Mus musculus: one gene and its partner. The protein of the gene in region 1 interacts with the protein of each later gene in a biochemical or structural test. Links are inferred from orthologs where the notes say so. Each region holds a gene or a part of one and is shown on either strand. Other genes may lie near its edges. The genes, in order: Dhx9 and Akap8l.

What was found.
Region 2: the proteins of Dhx9 (region 1) and Akap8l form a complex in vitro, tested with the Homo sapiens proteins (2 studies listed by BioGRID). The link is inferred for Mus musculus from reciprocal best matches to the Homo sapiens genes DHX9 and AKAP8L.

Annotation. Positions count from the first base shown.
Region 1 is NC_000067.6:153,480,876-153,484,691, reverse strand, and holds part of Dhx9 (ATP-dependent RNA helicase A), read left to right. Parts: intron 1-819; 5' UTR 820-841; coding exon 842-952; intron 953-1,809; coding exon 1,810-1,950; intron 1,951-3,442; coding exon 3,443-3,560; intron 3,561-3,816. UniProt on the Homo sapiens protein: Multifunctional ATP-dependent nucleic acid helicase that unwinds DNA and RNA in a 3' to 5' direction and that plays important roles in many processes, such as DNA replication, transcriptional activation, post-transcriptional RNA regulation, mRNA translation and RNA-mediated gene silencing.
Region 2 is NC_000083.6:32,347,525-32,352,002, reverse strand, and holds the start of Akap8l (A-kinase anchor protein 8-like), read left to right. Parts: upstream 1-1,425; 5' UTR 1,426-1,503; coding exon 1,504-1,516; intron 1,517-4,478. UniProt on the Homo sapiens protein: Could play a role in constitutive transport element (CTE)-mediated gene expression by association with DHX9. Increases CTE-dependent nuclear unspliced mRNA export.

The DNA of each region.
Region 1 (3,816 bases):
TGCTTAAATTTTCTTTTAAAAATATGCCTTTTATTTTTGTGTGTATGAGTATTCTGTGAGTTTGTGTACACTTGGATGCCAGGTACCTTGAGAGGTCTGAACCCTTAGAGCCAGTGATGTTTGCCAGTCGCAAGTGGCTGAATCTGTATCTTCTCCAAGATCAGTAAGTGATCCTAACCACTGAGCCATCTTATCTTTTTTCTATTTCATTTTCACTTAAAATTTCTCTGGAAAAGAAAGTAATAGGGGCTGGAGAGATGGCTCAGTGGTTAAGAGTGCCAACTGCTCTTCTGAAGGTCCTGAGTTCAAATCCCAGCAACCACAGGGTGGCTCACAACCACCCGTAATGAGACCTGACACCCTCTTCTGGTGCATCTGAAGACAAGTACATTGTACTTAGATATAGTAGATAAATCTTTTGACCAGAGTGTGCAGAAAGTCTTGAATTCAAATTCCCAGGAGCCACATGATGGCTCACAACCATCACTACAGCTCTAATGTACTCATATACATAAAATAAATCTTAAAAAAGTAATAGAATGTGACATGGTTCTCATTGCTGGGAGGGATAACTTTAAAGCAAGTAAGATATTCATTGTAGAATGTAGGATACAGCATAAAATATTTGAAATTAAAAATCAGTCTACAACAATAACCATTGTAGGATATGTGTATAATTCAAATTTTACAGCTTGTATCTTTTTTACTACATGCCATAGACTTCAATTATATTAAAATTTCTTTATAGGTAAGTTTAAGAGTAGTGTGATAGAATGTATGAGGTTTTGCTATCATAATGCTTTTAACTTGTTTTCTTAGGTGTGAAGAAGACACCTGAATCATGGGTGACATTAAAAATTTTCTGTATGCCTGGTGTGGCAAAAGGAAGATGACTCCAGCCTATGAAATTAGAGCAGTAGGAAACAAAAACAGACAGAAATTCATGTGTGAGGTACATAAAGAATACAGTTAATTTATATACTTGTGAAGTTCGTCTGGTTTAAAGGAATGTTTTATTTGGAAAGGCTGAACTGTTGCAGGTTGTAGAAGAATTTATTTTGACTTGGCTGGTTTTATTATTTTCAAAGAAACATTATCTTGCAATACTTGGCTAGGGAAATTATTCTAATGCTTAAAAAACTTCCTTGGTGCTAGTAAGTCAGAAGATAAAATGTTTGCAATTTTACATTTGGGGGGTGGGTGTGGTTAGAGTCTTAGTTAAGGCATGCACCACCACCCCTGGGTTCTCTGTTTAGAGAAGCAAAGTATTTAAAAGAAAGGTAGTGTTTTCCCTTAGTTATTATAAAGTTATTATTAAATTGCATGGTTGGGTGTGCACAGAAGCATGTGAAAATCAGGACAGTTTGTGGGACTTAGTTTCTCTTGCTCTACCAGTCTAGGGGATTCAATTCCAGTTCATCAATTTGGAGGCAAAGTGCTCTTGCTTAGTCCACTTGCTGTCTTGTTTCCCCCTAAACCCCACAGAGTTCAGTGGTGGTGGTTTAAGGCCAGCCATTTGATAGGCAAGTACTGTCCACAGAGCTTAGTTAGATACCCAATCTGAAAAAATTTAAGTGTGGAAACCTGAGCCGCTTAAATTGATACTGTTGAACCAGTATGTCAATGAACAATTCAGCTCCACGGTTTTAGTTAAATAATCCATGTGTTGCTTGGGTATGTTAAAGGAATATTTACTTATGTAGTGTGTCTAAAACAGTTGTATTTTGCCTTTAATTGGCCATTTATTTTTTTAAATCCTAGAATTACCCAGCTTTAATTCAACTTTTTTTCCCCCCTTGAATCTTAAAGGTTCGAGTAGAAGGGTTTAATTATGCTGGTATGGGCAATTCCACCAATAAAAAGGATGCACAGAGCAATGCTGCCAGAGACTTTGTTAACTATTTGGTTCGAATAAATGAAGTAAAGAGTGAAGAAGTTCCAGCTGTTGGGGTAAGTATTTATGACCAAGAACTTGATATTTTTGTTTGCTTTCCCCTTTCTACCCTTGGGTTCAAGTTAACAGATTTACAGGATGTGTCTACAAATACACTGTGTGCAGGGGCATTATATGAAAGGATATAGTGGCTATACAAAAATGCATTGAGTTTTAGAGACACAGTTGAGATTTTTTTCTACCTGAAATGTGCAGAAAGAAACCATACCTTGTGAAATTTGTCCTTTCCTAAGGCTACCAATAAGCACTAAAAACACAGCCATTCAGACATGCCCCCAAAGAGTATGAACAGACAGCATTTAAAGTATATTGTATTACTAAGCCATGATGCTCAGAAGTACAAGAAATTAATTTTTGACTCAAAAAATAAAAATTTTCAAATTATGTGTTTCATTGGGGTTAAAGATGTGTGTTCTAAATTCTAATAATGTTGGGAGGGGGGGATAATCTGGGCTTGATGGTGCAGGCCTGTGGTCTTAGCAATATGGCAAATTCAGGCCAATTAGGCTATTGTATGACATCTTACCTTAAAAATAGCAAATTAACCAGAAGTGTTGGGACATTACCTTTTTTTTTTTAAGATTTATTTATTTATTATATGTAAGTACACTGCAGTTGTCTTCAGACACTCCAGAAGAGGGCGTAAGATCTTGTTACAGATGGTTGTGAGCCACCATGTGGTTGCTGGGATTTGGAAGAGCAGTCGGGTGCTCTTACCCGCTGAGCCATCTAACCAGTCCGGGACATTACCTATTACTATTGTCGTTTAAGCTCTCAATTGACTTGGACAGTGTACAGTAAAAGGGAAAGAAACATGTATAATTAACTGTAATAACATTTAGAGATTTCAACACATGGCTCTAAATGAAATTATAAATTGCCTTTATTAATGGTTAACTCATGTATTCTCAGGACTTAGACCCAGAAATTTGGGCAATCCTGATACTATCGATCATGCTGTTTAAAAATGGATTTTTCAAAGGAACAGGCATTTATTCACTATAACATTAAATACTTTATACTTCTGTACAAGATAACTCTTGCTTATTTATCTTTGAGACAAGATCTCACTTTATAGGCCATAGCTCTAACTATCCTGGAACACATGTAGACGAGCCTGCCTCTGCTTCCTGTAGTGGTTTTGGTTTTTTGGTTTTTTTGGTTTGGTTTGGTTTTTGTTTTTTCAAGACGGTTTCTCTGTGTGGCCCTGGCTGTCCTGGAACTTGGATTTGTAGACCAGACTGGCCTCTAACTCAGAAATCCGCCTGCCTCCGCCTCCCGAGTGCTGGGATTAAAGGCGTGCGCCACCACCGCCCGGTTCATTCCTAAGTTACTTGAAACTTTGTCTTCAAACAAAGGCAGAAATGGGAAAAATACTATGGGGAAGGATGTTTAATATATGGGTATCTTTGAGTAGTCTTGAGTCTTCTAGTTTCTGCAAAACAAACAAAAACCCCAAGTACTGACACTTGACTTTTCCTCTTGTAGATTGTACCACCCCCACCCATACTTAGCGACACCTCTGATAGCACAGCAAGTGCTGCAGAAGGGTTACCAGCACCAATGGGAGGACCACTTCCTCCTCATCTGGCTCTCAAAGCAGAAGGTAAGGGACTTGAATATATGTACTTAATGGAGGATAACACAGTCATGCTTGGTCACCTCACCTTGTCATTTGTATAGAGAAATCAATAAACATGTTTATTAGGTGATCCCATTCAAGCAGCCACTGTTTTAGGGTTTGTTCTGTTTAAAAGATTTAAATTTATAGCTGTTTTACCTGCAATACTTATGGGCCACCAAGTGGGTTAAAGAATTTTATGAGTTGCCTTTTATATGGCTGTGTATCAGGCTTAGAGGGC
Region 2 (4,478 bases), on another chromosome or scaffold:
TCTTACAGAGAACTTGGATTTGGTTCCCAGCACCCACATGGCAGCTCACAGTAACTCCAGGGTATCCAGTACCCTCTTCTGACCACCTCAGGCACTGGGGGTGCATGTAGTTGCATAGACATATATTCAAGCAAAACAAATACATAAGCCTAAAAAGAATTGATAAACATTCCTTAATACCAATAGAACACCTACTTTAACATTTCTCAAAACCATAAGAAGGTACATGAATCATAGAAGCAGAGCTTGCTGTAGTTTATCCATTGTTTTATTTTTAGGGTTCTTCCAAGGATACCTCCCATGGTGACTTTCCACACAGCCAGGAGGAGCCAGGCATAGTGCTTAGAACAAGGCTGGTACTGGGTTACATTTTTCGTTTTGTGGAGCTGAGCATTGAACATAGGTTCTTATGTCAAGCATTTGCAATAATATATGATACATTGAGATATACTACTTGTATAACAAATAGCATACACATAAACAGTTATTTTTAAAGTGGTTTTTGAGAGGCAGGAGAGATGGCTCAGCAGTTAAGAGCACTAGCTGTTTTCCCAGAGGACCCAGGTTCAATTCCCAGTACCTTCATGGCAGCTCAGGGCTGTCTGAAACTCCAGTTCAGGTGATCTGACACCCTCACACAGACACGCGCAAGCAAAACACTAATACACATAAAATTTTCAAAAGCATCTTTATTTTGCAGTTGGAGAGCTCACATAAGGCCTTCTGTACATGCTAGGATAAAATGTTTTTCCACCAAGCTATATCCTTACAAACACTATTAATTGTTATGTAACGATTAATAAGAAAATAATATTTACTATTTACTTTGTGAAACTGGCCCTAATTCTTTACCCCTCCTTGAAACGGGGACTCACTGGAACCCAGAGTGGCTTAGAATTCATATAGTATAATCTGACCTCAAACTCGAGTCATTCTGTCTCAGGCTCCGGTATTCTGGGGTTACAGAAGTCAGCTACTACACATGGCCTTCTTCGTTTGTTTTAACGTTATCTCACATAACGTTTGTCAGGACCTTGTTTAGCAGTTAGATACTAATTTTCTCCTTTCAACATGGCTTTACCATTCTTGACTTCATTTCAGTGGCGGGGCGCAAGACGGTCGTCTCTGCTCACGCTGGCAAGTGTCTCGCTCGCACACACCAGGCGAGCACACGCGTGGGCTCGGACCTCTAGGTTGCATGCAGCTCCGCCCCTTCGAACCTTTCCATCTTCTCCCCTTGGCCTATTGGCGCAGGTTTTTGTTAACAGGAGGCGGAGAGTAAGGCGGGGTCGTCGGGGGTTGGCAGTATCTCCAACCACTGTCACGAAGAGGTGTAAAAATAGACAGGTAGCGAAACCAATAGGCGTGAAGTCCGAGGTTTGCAGAAGCCAATGAGATAAGGAGGCGGGGCTGGAGCGTGTGTGGAAGGACCCCAGGGATTGTTGTGGCGTCAGACGCGCAGAGTAGCGGTCTGTGTCCACGGCTCGGGTGTTCTCTGCGGCCATGAGCTACACAGGTAGGCCCAACAGGGTGAAGGCAGCGCTCTGGGCCGGGGCGTCAGGACGGGCTGAGTCATGCTAGGATCTCCTCTTGTAGTGTCGTGGTCATTGCCCTCTGTGGTCACAAAATGGCGTCTTAGGCTCTTCCCTTCGGGGTCGCATCCCTCAAGCTTCGGCTCTCACTGACCTCAGCCGGGCATCTTGGACTCTCCTGGCTACTCAAGGATTTGCTTGTGTCTTCTGTGACCGTAGGTCTTGGGCCTCAACGTTAGGTTCAGGCTTCCCGCACCTCCGTTCGTCATTCCCTGGCTAGTGCCCCACGGACACCCACGTCTAAGACGTCGCTTCTCAGGCCTGAGCTTCTGAGATCAGTCCGTTGGGGCGGCTGCTGTCGCCATTGCCTCCCTTGAGCAGTTTCTGTGCAAAACGTCGCAGACCCTTACTCATGGCACTCCCCCCACTTCATCTGGTATAAAGCGGGAGGGGGGGAGAGCCAACCTCCCCTACCTCACTCCCCCAGGGGGCGGTGAGAATCTGTAAATCTATATGAAGGCTCTGAACCGTTGCAGGGAGCTTTAGAGAGCAAGCTTGAACCCTGGTGACGAATGACTACTTTCCACTCAACTTACCGAATCAGGTGCTGAATAGACACTGAATGCTGACAAGAATTTCTTAAGCATCTTATAGGCGAGGACAGACAAAATACAATAAATATATTATTTTGGGTCTTGGGTATCCTGAAGAGATTCAGCCATTACACGGAGAGCTTTGAAGCCTCTGGGAAGGGTGACGTTTAAGAAGAGATGTAAGCAAAATAGGAAAGAGTAAAGATAGCTGTCGCTGTAAAACATACTGGGCTGGAACCGCCTACCTACTTAGATCAGTGATATTTGAGCAAAGAGGAAGGTGGGTGAGGAGCATGGTGAGGGGTGTGGAATATGCTTGAGTGACTGTAGAATCATTCTTGAGTGAGTTAGTTGCCAAGGCTCCCTGGGTTTGCCAATGAAACTTATCAGTCAGTGCCACAGACAGTGCCTCCCACTTTACTGGAGGTATTTCAGGCTTGAACTTAAGTGGTTGCTGGATAACCCACATTCTGTTTGGAATGTTTAAGGCTTTCAATGGAACCTGAGCTTTATGCCAGTCCTCCTAAGCCCCTGGGTCAAATGCTTGCCAAGAACCTTGGGATTTTTAACAACCATCCTCTAGGCCAGTGGTTCTCAACCAGGGTGATTTTGCCTGCCTCACACCTCCCAGGGGTACATTTGGCAATATCTGGAGTCCTGTTTTGTCTTATCTATATAATGTGTGTATGGGCAGGGGGGGGGTGGAGGTGGGGGACTGGTATGCAGTGCTACTGACATCTAGTGGATAAAGGGTAGGGCTGCAACTCTGCAGCCTGAAGCGCATAGTATGGCTTCCACCACAACATACTTTACTTTATTTACATGTATCTGTCTGCATCTACATGTATGTGTTTGTGTGAGTGTGTCAGCCATGTATGAAGGTGCCCCTTGGGACCAGAAGAGAACATGGGTCCCTTGAAACTGGAGTTAACGGAGGGTTGTGAGTGAGCCGCCTGACATGGGTTCTAGGATCTGACTCTCGTCCTCACAATTGAGCAGCATATTTCCAACCCTTCAGTGTTTTTTTTTTTTAATAAATTTGTTTATTTAATTTTGTTCATATGAGTGTTTTTCCTGAATGTGTGTGTCTGTGCACTGCCATGTGAGCGCCTGTAACTCTATAAAACTAAGGGTAAAGATGATTATGAGCCACCCCCATGGCTTCTGGGATTGGGGTCCTGGCCCACTGGAAGAGCAGTACTCTTGACCACTGAACCATCTCTCCAGTTGCACTCCCCACCCCAGTGGTTTTTATAGACAGCTATTAAATCATTAGTACTTAAAATTTAAGCATCTTGAGAAGGCCCTGGACCCCCAGGGGTGGGAAAAATCTAATTGGACACAATCTCTTTAGGAAGGATGGCAAAGACTCGGTCTCTATATTTGTGTTTTCTCTTTCCCCAAGACCTGGGCTCAGTTCCTCTCCTTGGAAAGTAAAGCTGAAGTTGAGTCCACAGCTTTCTTTTTTGGAGTCCTTGTAGCTGGATGTATTTGCAATTCTACCCTGAAGAAGTATGGTCTCTTCACCTGGGGTCAAGGTGGTACCCTGTAACTGAATACACTAGGGACAGCTTAGTGATGTAGTGTTGGCCTAGCTTGCCAAGGCCTTGAGATTAACTCAACTCAAGGACCTCAAAGCAGAAACCGTATTGATTTTGCACCACATACATAAACGGTATTCATTCTCCCGGGTCCCTGTGGCCTCGGTGTAAAATTGTTCACGTTTGCAGAGGGCACTTACTCTGCTTATGAACTGCTATGGTTGGAAGCCTGGAGGTATCCAGCCTCCTTCCCAGTTCTGAGAGTCCTCGATTTGTAGTGTTTTGTTTTGTTTTGTTTTTTTTTTTTTTTTTTTTTTGGACTTAAAAAGTACTGACTTTTCAAAGAATTTTGGACAGGGAACAGGGTCTTAATGAGGATGAACTGAGACCTGCAGCTAAAGCACCCAGCAGGGAAGCATTTATTCAGTGTGCAATATTGACTATGGTTGCTGTGGTTTTGTGTGTGTGTGTGTTTCAGGGGTGTCTCACCCTGTTTCAGCACCTTGAACCCATGGCAGAACTTGTGCCTCAGCCTCGTGAGTGCTGGCATGTAGGCTGTAACCTTCACTGAGCAGCAGCAGTATGGGAATCTGTACCCACATGATTGGTGTTTGATATGCTTCGGTTGTAACTTATTTTTATTGGAAATGCTGTCATTGATTTTTGAGTCAAGGGCTTAGTGTTTTAATCATTTCAGCACTAAGTGAAAAGATGTACAAGATACATATGTTAGACAAGGCCTTCCTAAAACTCACAATCCTCCTGCTTCTGCCTTCCCAGAGAATAGGATTAAAGGTGTACTGTGTCTGGCT